Drosophila melanogaster: one gene and its partner. The protein of the gene in region 1 interacts with the protein of each later gene in a pairwise test. Each region holds a gene or a part of one and is shown in the gene's direction. Other genes may lie near its edges.

Region 1 (4,276 bases):
TAAACATAAGAAATAGGGAGAAACAATGTAAAACCCTTGCTAATTAAGATATCTGATAAGATACAATGCTCGTGTCTTAACCATCAACGATAAATCAATGATCATTAGCTTCGGCATTCCATTTAATTTATACATATTATTCCTATGGCTCACTTCGCCGTTCTTGAATCTAGTTACGTTTACTGGAATTTTAGACTAAGCAACTAGCTCATTGACATTCTTTGGCTTCTGAGTGCTTGTACGATTAAAAGGCTAGAATCTTGTCGTCAACTCTTTAGCATGCAGTGGGTGTGGGTGCCATTAGATTATCTTATGATCAAACATTATCGGTAACTATAAAAGCCCATAACACGCGCCAAGGGGTCGCACAGGGGCCAATCGGAGCCAGCTTGTTGGACTGGGCTAAGCATAGCTAGTCAGCAGCTAGTTAATAGCCTCATATCACACTGACACTCCGGCTAATTCCAATCAATGTGCGCACATTGTAGCCGCACTGAGTGCTTTTTGATTGCCCGCCCAGCTCAAGGGTGCTCCACTGCCAGCCGTTTTATTAGCAGCATTCAAAGAGCTGTAACCCGGACTGCAAAAAGTATAAGTTATGACTCGGCAGTTAGGGAACTGGCTAATTGAATGACGTTACAACTTCCGTAACGAGACAAGCTCCACTCAATGCCCTTCGACAGCGCCAATGACCATAAAGAGGTGGGTCAAGTTGAGCTTTGATTGCGAGCAAGCCGCTCGAAGGAGGCGTGTGCTCTCTCTTCGGAACTTTCCCAGAATTCAAGCGTAACAAGTCTGTTTGCCATATGGTTCCCACAACCTTATTCTTAATATGTGTGATTAGACAAGACAACGTTAATCTGCTTGGACGCACGATAAAAATTACATCAACAATTAGAAAACAAGGTCTAGCTGTGCAACCTACTATAACTAGGGTATAATGAGTATATGATCTCTGTAAAATTCATATTATTTTTCCCTTTTTTTTTAGGCCCAGTTCGTGCTGTGCATCTTCCACACCCTCCGCGCCCTCTTCAGCAACCAGTGCCAGTTCTCCAAGTTCATCTCTGCGCTGCTCCTATTGAATGCATCCATTTTCTTCTGCCTCTTCATGAACTTCTACATGCAGAGCTACAGGAAGACCAAGGCGGCGCAGCAACTGCAGCAGCAGCAGCAACAGCAGAAGCAACAGCAGCAACTGGATGCCACGCCCTGCAAGGCGGACAGCAACAATAACACGGCGATGCTGGCGCAAAAGCTGAAAGCCAACTGAATTGAAAATCGAAAGCAGTGAGAAAAGTGCTTCCAGGGATTGCCCAACATTGGGGGGAACAAATTTTACATAAACGGACCAGATTGGTGATGGCAACGGACGGAACGGAAGTAGTTTTGGTACAAAGGTTTCAACTAACGCTAAGCTAAGCTTAAGAGCCATAAATACACGAGCGTGCACGCACACACACACACAACCACAGAAGAGAACGAAGAAGAGGAAGTCCGCCTTCCGATGATCGATCGATCGAGCATGGGGAACACGGGGCGTATGCGCAACATCAATTATAACTTGGCGATTATCCCCTCGCCAGCTTCGCTTGATTGCTTCGCTTCGCATCGCATCGCATTCTCGCCATCTGTGGCTGCATTCGCATGTGTAGAACCGTACAACAAACTGGGTCAATTTTCGAGATCTGCCTAATGTGTAAGTCGCCTAATTCTAGAACCTCACGAACGAAACGCGTTTAGTCTTTAATTCCCTTAGGCTAAGTGATTATTGTAATTGTAATTGTGTATAGACGATTTGTAAATAGCCTGTTAAATGTTAAATATTTGTAGTCCTAAGCCAACTAGTCTAACTTACAAAATTCGCACGAACAAATACGGCGAGCACGAAATTAAAAGCCAAGACAAATAAAAACGAAGAAAAGATAAATAAAATAAAACCGAAAACCAACCAACTGGGTTTCAATATGTTCTAAATTCACAGCGGAAAAAACTGAGCTGTATATTGGCAGGGTCTTTCGGTGCGAAAGAGATAAATAAATTTTAGAAACATATCAATTTTAGAAACTTCCACAAACGAATCTAGTGCATATTAAAAATATATGTAACCGAATTGACTAAAAATGCTTTAATAGAAATATATATGGTTAATTTGGCGCATAATTAAGCTAACAGGAATTACAAAACATAAATTCAAATATAGTACTCGCTAATACTATAATCGAGCCGGCAACGCCGACGTTCAGTTTAAAAAGGTTCGCGCCACTGCTTAGACTGCATAAGGTGTGGTCACACCATTCTGCTGTCCCGATAGATAGCGATAAGTAATATCGTACTACTGAGAGACCACCAATAACGATAACGACAGCTTATACCGGAGCTTGTCAAACAAAAAGAAGTAAAATTAAGTTTATACCGCAAACTACGTGTAAATAAAGGCCCCCCGACAGCATGGAGCAAATGGAAGTGGACGTTGACATGTCGGCCAAGCCCAGCACATCGTCCTCCGCCGCCGCCGGGAGCAGTATGGCAGTGGATAAGACTGCGGATCAAAACCCACAGCCGCAGGGAAACATAATGGCTGCAGCGGGCACCAGTGGTTCTGTGACCATATCGCTGCATCCGCTGGTCATAATGAACATCTCCGAGCACTGGACACGCTTTCGTGCACAGCACGGTGAGCCGCGACAGGTGTACGGAGCACTGATTGGCAAGCAGAAGGGCCGCAACATTGAGATTATGAACTCGTTCGAACTGAAGACGGACGTTATTGGCGATGAAACAGTGATCAACAAGGACTACTACAACAAGAAGGAACAACAGTACAAGCAGGTGGGTGTCCAAGCCTCTACATACGCTGCTTTACCAGCTGTTACTCTTTTTTCCCCAGGTGTTCAGTGATCTCGACTTCATAGGCTGGTACACAACCGGCGACAATCCCACTGCCGATGACATTAAGATCCAAAGACAGATAGCCGCCATCAACGAGTGCCCCATCATGCTACAGCTGAATCCGCTCTCCCGCAGCGTCGACCACCTTCCCCTGAAGCTATTCGAGTCCCTAATCGATCTGGTGGACGGCGAGGCCACCATGCTGTTCGTGCCCCTCACCTACACACTGGCCACCGAGGAGGCGGAGCGCATTGGTGTGGATCATGTGGCGCGCATGACCTCGAACGAGTCCGGCGAGAAGAGCGTGGTGGCGGAGCATTTGGTGGCCCAGGACAGTGCCATTAAGATGCTAAATACACGCATCAAGATCGTGCTGCAGTACATACGCGATGTGGAGGCCGGAAAGCTGCGGGCCAACCAAGAGATTCTGCGAGAAGCCTACGCTCTCTGCCACCGACTGCCCGTCATGCAGGTGCCCGCCTTCCAGGAGGAATTCTACACGCAGTGCAACGATGTGGGACTGATTAGCTACCTGGGCACGCTGACCAAGGGCTGCAATGATATGCACCACTTTGTGAACAAGTTTAATATGCTGTACGACCGCCAGGGATCCGCGCGCCGCATGCGAGGTCTCTACTATTGATATATGCAAACAATCTATTAAAGCTTCGGAGATAAATACACATAATCGTACGATGGGTGAATGCGGTTTTATTTCAGCTGCCGCTGGGCAGGCTACATACGTATACGGGTGGCATCAAGCGATATCACTTTCTTCCTGAGCTTCCAGCTCCTCTTGCTTCGTAAATTCAATTCAGATGCACAGACAACATTTCCTAGACACTAAATTAGGTAATTTCGCAGCGGAATTAGTGGTTGTAGTCGTCCAGCTTGATGCTGGGGGCATACTGCTGCAAGAACTCCACCTCCAGCGGATGCATCTCCTTGGCGGGAATGATGAGCGAGTGCAGCGGTCCGCCCAAATCGGTCGAGCGCATCTCAAGCAGCGTGCCAACGGCAATCTGCTGCGACTCCTGGCCAACACGGGCCAGTCCAACGCACAGTGACTGCTCGTTGAGCACTGTGTTCTTCTCCAGCGAGTCCTTCTTCTCCACAATGGACAGCAACTGATGAGCCGCCTCCGCCACGGTCATGAAACGCGGTGGCATGTACTCCTTGCGTTTGCGCATCAAGGACTCCGGCGTGGGCTCCTTCACCTTGATGTCCAGCAGGCACAGCGTGTGCATGTTGTGCAGGCGATTCAGCTTGATCTTGTCGTAGAAGCTGTCCGGCTTCCATGTCTCGTCCCAGTACGGAATCGAAACGGTCTCGCCGAATTTGTACAATTGCAGGCCGCAGCAGCCGACGGCGTTCATGATCGATG
Region 2 (4,488 bases), on another chromosome or scaffold:
AATTTGCTATGACGACCACCAAATTATTTATTTTAGTGCAGTTCATCGATAGATCGCTCCCATCAGCTCAATCTGCACTTGGCTGCCCCAGATCCCAGATCCAGGAATTTCGTCTGCCTGGTACTTACGCAAATGCTCAGATTGAACTGCCAGTCTATCGTCTGCAGTCTATCCATTTCTCATTAAAACTTTCTTTGCTGTCTGCTCCACAATTACCCGAACGACTTCATCTGCTCGATCCACGGATCCATCCGCGGGTAATGACAGAGCCGGCAAAAAATCTGCCAAAACCAATAGGAAATCATCAGCCAACGGTCAGTGGGTTAATTTTGGCCCACCAAAAATACTGAAATGAATTGGAGAATCCCCGAAGATGGCCTGCAATTAATCATAGATTGAGGCTTATTCGCTATCCAGCGAAAGTAATTTGTAGCCGACAAGAGACCCTGCAGATCGCTTGTAGTTACGATTATCGCACAGCCCACCAGGTGGTCTTCCCACCATGGACACTTTCACATGTCGCAGAGTTGGCGCAGATGGGGAGAAAGGTTGCGAGAGGAAGAAGAGTCGTCGAACATGCAAATGCCTCATCAATCAGCTCCTCCGCCCTTCCCCTTCAAATCGGTGACGTGCTTTTGACACAAAACCCGGCTACTGTGCTACCGCTTGCACATGGCAATCAACGCGTCAAGCGGCCAGGAAACGGATCCCGATTCCGACCCCAGTTCCAATTCCCGTCTGCGGCACACAGAAAAAAGTTATACCTACTGAACTAAATGTGACATTATTTTATACGTATAGAATACGAGAGATAGCTCATATAAATCGCATTGAATTTATATGCAAACCTATTTCTAAACATTCATACCTAAGTGCAATTCATCGTGCGAAAGTAATGCCTTCTTGCGCGCTGTGCACCCAACATTTTCATCCCATCTCCATTTCCATCTCCGCCTCAAACTCCCCATTTCCATTTCCATTTGCCGTTTGGCTTGCAGCAAAATGTGTGAATTTCTTTAGTTTGCAGTAGGCAGCACACAATTTTTGACAGCTGCCTTCGAAATGGGAACGGTCAGCCGAGGAAAATGCATCCATCCTCCGGTGCAGAACAGTCGCACCGCAGTTCTGGGAAATCTGCACACGCTGGTCTTGTTTGTGGGTCAGCCTCAGCCGATGGAGGCGAATAGAACTGCAAATGGGCAGACTCCACCCAGAATGTCGGGGCTTATTAGCTGCACGCTAATTTATTCCGGCAAACAGAAGGCACGGCTTCTGTTGTCGAAGATTTCAGAGCCGCAGATCGCAGACGGGCAGGCGCCAGACAAATGAATGTTGTGAAATCTGGCGATTGCCTGGAAACTTGTCCGCAAAGAGAAAAAAGAAAAAAGAGAAAAGTGCTCAAGGAAAAGCAATATAAATAAAGAAGAATGGCTTGCACATGTTACATAAAACGAGAAGCTTAAAGATAATGGAAACAAAATTTGGATTTGAATATGGGAGTAGGCCTTGAACGAGTCCGTCTAGTCCGTCAGTATCGAGTCAACAACCTACATATTAGTTGCACTCACTTCGTGTCTGAGATCAAACGAAAAAATATTAGAACCAAAAGTTTTGAAAGTTTTTTTTTTATTATAGTTTCAAACTTAAGTGCAAAATGTTTCGGTCGTGTGTGCCCAAGGCGATTACCTCTAGTCGCTGTTTCGCGCGGATGTACTCGAAGGACGTGCGCTTTGGCTCCGGAGTACGGGCAATGATGATCCGGGGCGTTGATATTCTGGCTGATGCCGTTGCTGTGACCATGGGGCCCAAGGGTCGCAGTGTGATCGTGGAGCGACCATGGACCTCGCCGAAGATCACCAAGGACGGCTTCACGGTCGCGCGCTCGATTGCCCTAAAGGACCAGCACATGAATCTGGGCGCCAAGTTGGTCCAGGATGTGGCCGATAATACGAATGAGTCGGCGGGTGACGGCACGACCACAGCAACAGTTTTGGCTCGAGCGATTGCCAAGGAAGGATTCAATCAGATTACCATGGGGGCTAATCCCGTGGAGATTCGTCGAGGTGTCATGTTAGCTGTTGACGTCGTAAAGGACAAGCTGAAGGAAATGTCCAAGGCAGTGGAAACGCGTGAGGAGATCCAACAAGTAGCCACCCTCTCCGCGAACGGGGATACTGAAATTGGGCGGCTCATTGGTGAGGCCACCGACAAAGTGGGTCCAAGAGGAACTATTACTGTAAAGGATGGCAAGCGCCTGAAGGACGAGCTAAATATTATCCAGGGCCTGCGCTTCGACAACGGCTATGTGTCGCCCTTTTTCGTAAACAGCTCCAAGGGGTCCAAGGTGGAGTTTGCCAACGCCCTTGTAATGATATCCCTGAAGAAGATCACTGGACTCTCGCAAATAGTTAAAGGTCTGGAGCAATCCCTGAGGCAGCGTCGTCCCCTGATCATCATAGCCGAGGACATCAGCGGGGAAGCCCTCAATGCTTTGGTCCTGAACAAGCTCAGGTTGGGCCTCCAGGTGTGCGCCGTCAAATCGCCCAGCTATGGACACCACCGCAAGGAGCTTATAGGCGATATATCCGCTGCCACGGGAGCAACTATTTTCGGCGATGACATCAACTATTCCAAAATGGAGGAGGCTAAGCTGGAGGATCTGGGTCAGGTTGGCGAGGCTGTGATTAGCAAGGACAGCACCATGCTCCTGCAGGGCAAACCCAAGACAGGACTTTTGGAAATGCGCATCCAGCAAATTCAAGATGAACTGGCGGAAAAGCAAATCAAGCCAGAGCAGCGGGATCGTCTGCGCCAACGCCTCTCCGCCCTCACGAAGGGCGTGGCAGTGCTGCACATTGGTGGAGGCAGTGAAGTTGAGGTGAATGAGAAAAAGGACCGTGTGGTGGACGCCTTGAATGCCACTCGAGCGGCCATCGAAGAGGGAATTGTCCCAGGTGGCGGTACGGCCTTTTTGCGCTGCATTCCCTACCTCCAGGAACTCAAAACGGAGAGTGCAGATCTCCAGAAGGGCGTCGATATCGTCTGCAATGCCCTGAGGATGCCTTGCCAGACCATAGCTCAAAACGCCGGAGTTGATGGCCCAATGGTGGTGGCCAAGGTGTTGAATGGCTCGGAAGACTACGGCTACGATGCCATGGGCGATGAGTACTGTCGGCTGGTCGAGAAGGGCATTATTGATCCCACAAAGGTGCTGCGGACCGCCATCACGGATGCAGCTGGAGTGGCCTCTCTTCTGAGCACCACCGAGGTGGTTATCACCGACTCCCGGAACGATGATCTTTTGTCCAAGTTGTCAGGAGCTGGCGGCGGAATGGATGATGGACTGGACATGAACATGGGTGGCTTAGAGGAGCTGGCAGCCTTAAGTGGATTGGGTGGCATGGGTGGTATGGGAGGCATGGGTGGTATGGGAGGTATGGGAGGAATGGGAGGTGGATTCGGCGGAATGGGCGCTGGTGGCGGAATGAGCGCTTCTGCCAGCAATGACGGTCCCACTGCCGAGGAGATGAATGAAATGGTCAAGGCTATTCCCGGCATGGAGCAAGTAGAGGTGCGTGACATTGACAGTGGGATGATGTAGAACCCGCTTCCGTTATCCGCTCCAGCTCAAATCGTTTCTATAGTTCAAATATCTGTTGAGTGTCTAAATTTTATGTGTTCATCTAAAATATAAATTGACAATCGAAAACGAATTGTATAAAACAGTCGGGAACCCTTCCAAATGACTTGAGAAAGTGAATTATTGGCCTTTTCCCTACACCAGCAGTTTTCTGGCCAAATATCTTTCAACCGGTTCATTATGCTGGTCTGCAAAAAGCTACACTTCCTTCACACTTTCGGTTTTTAATTGCAGCCGAAAATTTGGAACGGCGACCGGCAGAGCGAATCCAGCTGCAATGCGATGATCATTTGCATAAAACAAACAGCAATTTCTCACACATGTGAGCCGACCCTCGGTTTTTTCCCCCGTACTTTGCATGGTTTGTGTTTGCAGATTTCATTTGTGGCCCGCAGCTAAAAAAGCGATTCGTTACATGAGAGTGAGTGCGCAAGAAGGGGGGCCTGAGGCTGGGAGCCTCCACAAGAGCGTCACATCAAACATGCATCAATAAATAAGTAATTCCAATTTGCAAATTTTTCATCGAGGCCCGCAAACGAACCGAAAATGGTGGACGGACCCATCGAGCATCGAGCGTGGGCCAGGGAAAAGCCACAGCCTCTTGGACCTCGCGAATCGGTCCTAGTCAGGTGGCTTGGTCTGGTCGTTTCGCGTCGAAAAGGAAATTGTTCATCTGGCAAACATATTGGGCACCATCGCCAAGGCACAGCAACAACTCCATTCGGCAAGTCGGAAAACTCTGAGCCAAAAACCAAAAACAGACGAAAGGCAAATAAAAAGGCTATCGCTATCGCTCTTGGCCAATCTGCATGTGCAGGCAAGTCTTGTTTTTGTTTTTCCTTCTTTTT

The links. Proteins that work in one complex are often made in the same cells at the same time.
Region 2: the proteins of CSN6 (region 1) and Hsp60B interact in a two-hybrid assay, tested with the Drosophila melanogaster proteins (one large-scale study listed by BioGRID).

What each region holds. Positions count from the first base shown.
Region 1 is NT_033777.3:22,578,444-22,582,719, forward strand, and holds CSN6 (COP9 signalosome subunit 6), read left to right. Parts: upstream 1-2,329; 5' UTR 2,330-2,451; coding exon 2,452-2,832; intron 2,833-2,890; coding exon 2,891-3,535; 3' UTR 3,536-3,590; downstream 3,591-4,276. Other genes in the region: CG33110 (uncharacterized protein), read left to right, coding at 992-1,273; Dph5 (diphthamide methyltransferase), read right to left, coding at 3,762-4,276. UniProt on the Drosophila melanogaster protein: Component of the COP9 signalosome complex (CSN), a complex involved in various cellular and developmental processes.
Region 2 is NT_033779.5:726,854-731,341, forward strand, and holds Hsp60B (heat shock protein 60B), read left to right. Parts: upstream 1-1,508; 5' UTR 1,509-1,654; coding exon 1,655-3,601; 3' UTR 3,602-3,711; downstream 3,712-4,488. UniProt on the Drosophila melanogaster protein: Prevents misfolding and promotes the refolding and proper assembly of unfolded polypeptides generated under stress conditions.